2 linked regions of the Bombyx mori genome follow. The main gene of each other region encodes a partner of the protein of the gene in region 2 in a complex. Links are inferred from orthologs where the notes say so. Each region holds a gene or a part of one and is shown on either strand. Other genes may lie near its edges.

Region 1 (4,228 bases), on a different chromosome or scaffold from region 2:
GACTTAATATATTCAAGTTCCTTTCTCAAAGTCTGTATTCTTTTTTGATGCATTTCTTTCTTTTCACAGTGTTTAGATTGCTCTATGCTGTGACCAAGGTGGACATGGTTTAATGATTGATCAAAATTTGGTATTCTGTTTTGTGTTGTTACCTATAACACGAGTTTTTTATTTATTATTAAGGAAAAAAAATATTTCTAGGATTGGAAGCATCAATAAGATATTTTATAATTTTTAACGACATCACTACAATAATTTCATTATCAATAAATAGCATACATACTTGCGGAGTTTCTGCTTCAGATGAGGAATAGGTAGATTGTGAAAGATTGCTAGATGTAGACATTACTAGTACAAAATACTACAAATCCTTTCCTCATAAATTCGCGTATTATGTGTATTAATACCTATCTATGTTAATCGCTACATAAAAGGAACCAACCGTATATTTAAACCTCTTTACAACACAAACGAATTTTAACTTTTGTACTAATTTGTACTTACAATACTTTTTTTATTATTATTTTAAGAGATTTTATGACCTGGTAACTAAGACCTTTAAGCCTTGACTTATTTAATTTTCATTGTTATTTATTTATATTTTTATGAAAAATGAAATGTGCAATAACTGTGGTTTATTAACTGTTTAGTATCTGTGAAAGTGCATAAATGTAGGAAAATGAAACAAAGCCGCTGAACGTAACTTCTGATAGGGTGGATGGACTAGCGGCTATAGCAATTAATTAAAACGTAAATTAAATACTTGAAAACATTGTGTTGACTTGTATAAGAGAAAATTTAATTCAGAATGACACCGCACATCAAAAGTAAAAGGAACATAATACAAATTCAAATATAATGCATCATAGACAATTATACGTGGACAGCATCACAACCTTCCAACAACTTCTCGTTATCTTCCAAAAAGTCCACTGAAAAAGTCTCAGTAAATGACCACCATTTTACTGAGTTTATACTTCATCCCATATCATCTCATCTCATTTCATTTTTTTCGTTTTCATTACATTTCATGCTATGTTTCATAATAATCAACTTCATTTCATTTCATAATATCATTTTCATATAAAAAGGTACGTATCATTAAAATTAAAAATAAGACTTGACCTAAAGGTCTTAGTTACGAGGTCATAAATTCGCCTAAAAAAAATTCTTTCTCTGATATGGTAGCGTTAAAGTTTAAACGTTTAACGCAACCTTGTTGAAAATCGCATTAGAAGTTTCACTTCAAAAATGCTATCTTTTCGAATCTGCACACTACTGCCACAATCTACATTTACGTGATAAAAAAGCCCGATTTTATAAATCAACCATGGAGTTAATAAGTACCTACAACACTAACTCTATGAAATCAACATTAGTAACTATTTATTAATAATCTGTGATCAACATTCCAACAGCTGTCAGTGCTGTCACCGTACACCAATCACTAATAAAACCGCGTTTCCGATCACAAGAATGAAATTATAGAAAAATATTGTCCAAATAATAAGTGTTAATAACTATGAATATTGCTGTACGGGCTATATTTCTTTTGACTGCCTAAATAGACAAAACAAAAGTATTATTTATTAGTCATTACATATATATGTACTATGAATTGTTAATGTTATAATATCTCAAAGCTGTAATTTAGTGAAAAAGATGTCATTGAAAAAGTACTTGAAAACAATGAAGGATGATGAAGATAATTTGGATATAGTATCACCGTGCTTCAAAATAAGTCCTGATGTGCAATTAAAAGAGGTTCCAACGAACGGTGAAGAATATTTACTTAAAGTCATAAAGGAGCGTAAAAACATTGCAGCAGTTACGAAATGCAACAAAGATTATTCAAAGTTTGCCGAAAATCAGTCTCAGTATGTGCATGAGGTCAGTGAAGTTCTGAAAAATGATTTTAAAAATGATTGATTAACAAAATTTACATTCATGTAACCATGATGCCAATGATTTTGAAACGAATTTCTGGTGTAATATCTGCATCTGATGTAACTATGGAAAAGGTTGGGTACATTTCCGCATTGTTCTAAATATCTGCACCAGTAGCTAAAGTTGTAAAACATTTTTAAAATCATTATCTGCATCAATCTAATTTTAATGTTTAGGTCACCTTTTTTCACCAAACCGAGTTTGATTTCAACTATCAAACCTGGTTCTATATGATATAATTAAAATAATAAATTTGTATTAATTAATTTTCAATACACAGAGTTAAGCTCACTTAACTGTGCAAAATGCAGCTGAGATGTCATTTTATACATAATTTTCATTATTGGCACTGATAAGAATAATTAAAGATTTTTAATGTGTACTAAATCAAGAATAATTAATTAATTGATGTCCCTTTTTTATGTTTATTAATATGACTGTACTAATCTTATTCATTCAGGCATAGTAGGTAGTACTAAAAATATATTTGTAAATTATAATTCAAAACATTCACAATAGTAATTTGTAAAATATAAGTAAAACAATAAATACACTGATATTTTATCTTAATAGATTCATACCTTGGGACATATTCATAAATGATTCATTCCTGATGCCCGAATACAGTCTTAAGATGTCTACACAAAATGTCTAAAATGTCTGCAAGATGTCTACACAAAAAATGGGCTACACAAAATTATTCAATGATCATGACCATAAAAGTCATTTTGTAAAAATAAAAAAGTTAATAATCAGCTCACAAAATTGTATATCCTGTTATTAATTTATGATCTGCACTATTCGTAGAAAGCAAACTGCAATTACAGCAGAATTAATTTATAGTTATTAGTCACTGATGGTTTTTGATGGGTGGTCTCAAGATCATTCGTTAAATCTGTGAAATAATACATAACAGATTTTAAGAATATAGTTTTAATAATTTGGTGGCTTAGTAATGTTATTGTAATTTGAATAGATGTCTAATGGAAATGTCTTTTTAGTTCCCGAGGCTATCAGTACCTGAGAAGTTAAAACCTACAATTGAGTGGCAAAACATGCAAGTAGCAGATTTCTCAGAAACTCGAATGTACATATCTCGTTTGCTGTCAAAAAGGAAAATATGGAAAAACAATATTAATATTATAGAAATAAAACCAACCTGTGTAATTGAATGGAAACAGTTCTTCAGTACCCATATTCCAACATTATCATGCGTGCTCGGATTACAACATGCATTACTAGACCAAGGTTTAGAAGTACTTACTGATATTATTAGTAGAACGAAACCTGGTAATACTATAGAACATAAAACAGGTAAGTCATTACTTTACACTGTACATGTTCAGAAGATGATTAAGAGCCGTTAATTAAATTTAAATGGATTTGAACTTCTTCATGTCATTCTCAATAACAAAGTTTGTGGATTTTATATTGAAGTTTTCTCTATCATCTTCCTATTGATTAAGTACAGCTCTTTTGTAAAGAGAAAACTTAACCTGTTTTGTTACTCTCAGCAAACCAAATTATTCATACAGCATACATTCTGCCACTATTCTTTATGTGTTCCATAATTTTGATTCGATCATAGCATTTTGTCTTTACTTTAACTTTATACAAAATTATACAAGATTTTGTAACAACAAGTGAGCTTTATATGAAGAGAATAAAATCAAGATAATAGTAAATTTGTAATTGGGGTAAGGATGATTAGTGAACGCTTTGTAAGGAAATCACATATCAGCTCTCCCAAAAATCCACTTTTAAAGCAGAGATTTCGTAACCACCCAACCTACCTGTCAAATTAATATATATCAATTTTTAAACTTATTTATAGAATACATTGTGTTTTACAAACCATTTTTTTTTAGTACAAATTGTTCAGATGCATACAGAAGAAGTTTTTATTGGGTGGCCTTTTCATTTTCAGGTCAATGGGTATATGCGTTTTTGGCCTGTACCCAACTACCTCTATTGTCTGATACAACAAGTATTCTAAGAAATTTAGCTCGAAAGTGTGCTGAAATAAGGTAAATATAATAACACCTATTGTTATTTACAGCAGGTGACCACAGCTGAATCATAAACAAATGTAACAAAGATTGTGAAAAGTGGCAGTGTGAAATTTTTCAATTATTTAACAAGGGCTTTTACTACCTATACAGGGTAGCTGGTAAGATCCGGGTGAGAGAAGCCTACAATCATGCTGTGGTGTGCAATTGGATAGGCCTATGTCCAGCAGTAAACTGCTATAGGTTGATGATGATGACAAGAAATTTGATTT
Region 2 (4,312 bases):
TCGTTATTACATTACAACAAGTATGTGATAAGGAAGATGTTCAAAGTTCTACCATTGAAGGTACAAATGAATCCAAGAATGATAATGATGAAAAACCAAAAGAAAACCAAAAAGAAGAAGCTGATAATATTCAAACGAATGATTGTGATCCATGCAATGAGAACAGAATATTTGATGCTTTTAAGAATCTTCAAGATAAATTTGATTTAACTACAATGGATAATTTGTAACAACTTGTGTACTTGTTTTGTTTTTGAAATATTTATATAAATAGTATTTGTAGGATTGTAATAATGATAAACATTGAGCAACAATGAATGCCATAATTTGTCACAAATAGGAAACAAGTAAAATTTTTGTTGAAATGTTTGGTTTGCATAAGGAATATATGTGATTTAAACAGAAAATGTTTTCTTTCATTAAGGTACCAATTTGGATATTCATACCTATCATTGTTCATAACATTGACATCAACACTGAAATACTAATAAGGAAATACAAACCGAACCTGTAAAAATGATAATTTTTGTAATTATTGGTGTTAAGGCATCTTGTTAGCCCACATAGGTAGTTCCTACAACCTTATTTCTGCTGTAAAGCAGTAATGTGTTTTAATTTGAAGGATCAGGCAGCCATTGCTCTATAGCACTAACATTTAGACCTCATGTTTCAAGTATGACATAATTTATGTTGTTCATGCCTATGGGCCTCATAACCACTTCACACTAGTTGGACTGTGAGCACATCTATCTAAGTAACTAATAATAGTTTCATTTTAAAACATTTGTCCTTAATAGTAAGAGTTTATTTTTGTAGTACGTGCATATATTTCTTAGCTAGTTTAAAAGTTCAAAAGATTAATTTGGTACATATTTTATAATAGTGCGTTTAAGTGTGTGTAAACTAAGATTGACAGTTATGTAAATAAAACAAAATTAAAACTTATTAACTATTGGATATATTTGAGAAGTAAAAGTTGTACAGACAAATTTTGAGATAATGAATTTCACTTCTTTCCTTTCTTGGCTGCTGGTTTGTCATCACCGTTCTTAGGAACCTGCCAGTTCAGAGGATTGCGTCGGTACATTGGCCATGGAGGAACAGTAAGAATGGCAGCAAGCAGAAATCCAGCACCAAGAATATACACTGACTGCGAGAATTGCTGAACTATATAACCCCATACAAAACCAACTATACTGAACAATGTAATTATTGCCCTGTATAATTTCTCTGCTTTTGCTTGTCCGACGTAATCTATGTGGGTTGGTATAGATGTAAAGAAATCCATCTTGCTAAATTAGATTAATATCACTTGCCACAACAACAAATTATTTTGAAGAAACTTATCAGAAGTAACCAATTAAACGGTCTGACATTAAACGTCAAGCAATAGACACGTCAATACTAAATTGACGTCGTCATAAAAGATATTACCAGTATTATAAAACTGATTTCTAAACGTTTCTTTTTATTAGCCAATATTTTTTTTGTTCTTCCTAAATTTTATTTTATCAAAAAACTTTTAGCCATATCTTAAAATTTAGATGGCTTGCAACAAAGCTATGTTGATAGTAGTTTTAAGATATTTTCTAGTAATACTGCTTTTTCCTTTCCGTCAGTCGATTGTCAACATTCAGTACGATCAGACTCATTAGGTTAATTTTAGTTTTACAAAAAGATAATTTAGTTTTATTTTTCCAAAGTACAACAATCAAAATTAATTTAACAAAATGACAACGCTTAAACAAGTTCCTCTTACATGCGGTGGCCACACGAGACCAGTCGTGCATTTGGATTTTAGTGACGTTACAAAAGACGGATATTATTTGATTTCTGCCTGCAAAGGTAAGTTTTTATTGTTTATTCGTTTGGGGTGCTTTTGCCTTAGTCGTGACATATATAGGAAACATAATTTTTTCTAATATTAGTGGGGTGTGTTTCACGTTGACAAATGTCGGGCGTCGTGCTACGTTTATGAGACCTTCACTTTAGTTGTTTTGTTCTGAACAGTAGGTTTGGCCGGCGTGCATTCTATGCATGTTGCGACCTTCTCTTTCCGGACATGCAGGAAGCACCTTGAATATCCACTTGTGTGTTTCCTCGGCGCCAGTTTGCCTTGGGCCGCGTCGTGCTTTTTATTCATGTACTAGAGGCTAGTGCATGACATACAAGTTTTTCAACTTTGAATGCATACAAATTTGGAGCGAGCTCGGAAGTTTATTCCTGTATTAAATTAAATGTTGACATTTCACTTATTCTGGGTCACCTTGTACCAGCTCAAGGTTTGTTGTACTTGACATTATTAATAATGATATGGGAGTTCTGACAACATAATACTCTAACACAATGACTTATCTGTAAATTTTATTATAATGAAAATCAGAAATAAATGATAATTATTATAATTTTCACTTCCTTGTATTGCTAATGTGAAATTAATTATATTCAAGTCTTGGCTTACATGTTTTGTTTGTATGATATCCTTGGTTTTAGCTGTTACCTGTTTTGGTTCTGATTTAATAGTTCCATTAATCTCTGATGAATTAATCTTTTTTTTATATGTAAATAAGTATAAAAATCAGGAAATAGCATACTTGAATGTTGTTATTATGTAGTGTAGTATTGTTTATTTATTTCCTTGTATAATTAATAGTTGTTATCATGTTTTGTGTTCTTTTATACAAAATCAGAATTTTAAAATAATATCAACAGAAACTTATTATGAGTTATAATCTGGACACTGAAAATAATTTAGTAGTTGTAAAAAAGCAATAACCAGATATTTTTAAACATAACAAAACTAAAATGTAATAGCAACTAGTTAATTTACAAAGAGCTTTAAACAATGTATGAGCTATGATTGTCTTTTACTATCATTATATACTATCTCATGTATCAACATAGTTTATGTATGAATGCTTAATTTGTCTAATTATTTACATAAATGAGCTATCTTCACTGTTAACAAGGTTGTTTATTCCTCATATTTTATTAATATGATTTCTGGTTTTGCTTTTATTCAGATTATAATGTAATGGCATGTTTTGTTATTAAGATGGCAAGCCTATGTTACGACAAGGTGAAACTGGTGACTGGATTGGAACATTTGAAGGTCACAAGGGTGCTGTTTGGGGTGTGGCACTTACACAAAATGCAAACTTGGCTGCTAGTGGGGCAGCCGATTTTACAGGTAAATATTAAACAAGTAAGTTAAACTGCTTTTATTGAAATGTAAATCTGAAACTGTACACTTCAAATAAGCTACTAATTAGATTAAGGATATCACACTGTGAGTGATTATTTTGTACTTTAATCTCATAGGTTTGAATTTTTTGTTTTATTAATATGATCTAAAGTTATAATATTTTTGTCATTTACACAAAATACCATGGTCTACTTTAGCCACTGACTTACTAAAATAGTAATGAAAGAAGCCAAAAATATTAAATGTTTAAGCTCTGAGTATTTTCTTAGATATGTACTTAAAGTGCTTTGTGAAGCTAAAATGCTGAACAAAATACATATTTTTTGAAATAAATATAATAATATAAAAAAGTTTTTTCATATTAAATTTCCATTCCACTCTGTGATATGTGACCGATTTCACGATTTGAAATAACTAAAAATATGCCTAACCTATTTCGAGTGTGTAGATTTTGAGTTAATGATAATTTTTGGTCACAAAACCCAAAATAGTAAATTTAGTAAAAAGTGATTAAAATAACTATTACAAATTACTTAAAATCAAATTTTATATTTACAGCAAAATTGTGGGATGCTCGATATGGTGATATGGTCCACACTTTTGAACATGAACACATTGTGAAAAGTGTCAATTTCAATGCCGATGACACATTGTTGGTGACTGCTAGCAATGAGAAACTTATACGAGTTTTTGACCTCAACAAGCTTGAAGCTGGACGTATGTAATTGTTGCTTAATTTGGTTTATGTTACTGTTTAGACTAGTTTTTGAATGAATTAAGACCACTATAGTAACTATGAACTAAAATTTCTTTATATAATCTTATTATTGCTTTATTGTTACGTAGTTACTGGAGACCATAGATATGACAAACTGAATACAGCAAAAAAGGCTGGTATATATTATCAAAGCCTACAATATGTGGTCTGAATTTTAATATTAATCTCATAGAAAAATTATGTTGATTTCTTTTGTTAACTGATGACAGTCAAAATATTTTTGACAATTGTGGATCACTCCTTTTATTAGCAATAGTGGTCCGATCAAAATCCTGCTTACTTGCCTAGCATAAATGTTCTTGGTGGGCGGGTGGTTAATTAATTTTACT

Evidence for each region. Proteins that work in one complex are often made in the same cells at the same time.
Region 1: serine-threonine kinase receptor-associated protein (region 2) and gem-associated protein 2 share a complex: the UniProt entries of both Homo sapiens proteins name them as parts of the SMN-Sm complex. The link is inferred for Bombyx mori from reciprocal best matches to the Homo sapiens genes STRAP and GEMIN2.

Annotation. Positions count from the first base shown.
Region 1 is NC_085111.1:13,069,540-13,073,767, forward strand, and holds the start of gem-associated protein 2, read left to right. Parts: upstream 1-1,413; 5' UTR 1,414-1,662; coding exon 1,663-1,890; intron 1,891-2,948; coding exon 2,949-3,261; intron 3,262-3,874; coding exon 3,875-3,974; intron 3,975-4,228. UniProt on the Homo sapiens protein: The SMN complex catalyzes the assembly of small nuclear ribonucleoproteins (snRNPs), the building blocks of the spliceosome, and thereby plays an important role in the splicing of cellular pre-mRNAs.
Region 2 is NC_085123.1:9,320,064-9,324,375, forward strand, and holds the start of serine-threonine kinase receptor-associated protein, read left to right. Parts: upstream 1-1,505; 5' UTR 1,506-1,730; coding exon 1,731-1,845; intron 1,846-2,015; exon of another isoform or gene 2,016-2,282; intron 2,283-3,023; exon of another isoform or gene 3,024-3,055; coding exon 3,056-3,190; intron 3,191-3,763; coding exon 3,764-3,922; intron 3,923-4,312. Other genes in the region: GPI inositol-deacylase, read left to right, coding at 1-230; signal peptidase complex subunit 1, read right to left, coding at 1,007-1,288. UniProt on the Homo sapiens protein: The SMN complex catalyzes the assembly of small nuclear ribonucleoproteins (snRNPs), the building blocks of the spliceosome, and thereby plays an important role in the splicing of cellular pre-mRNAs.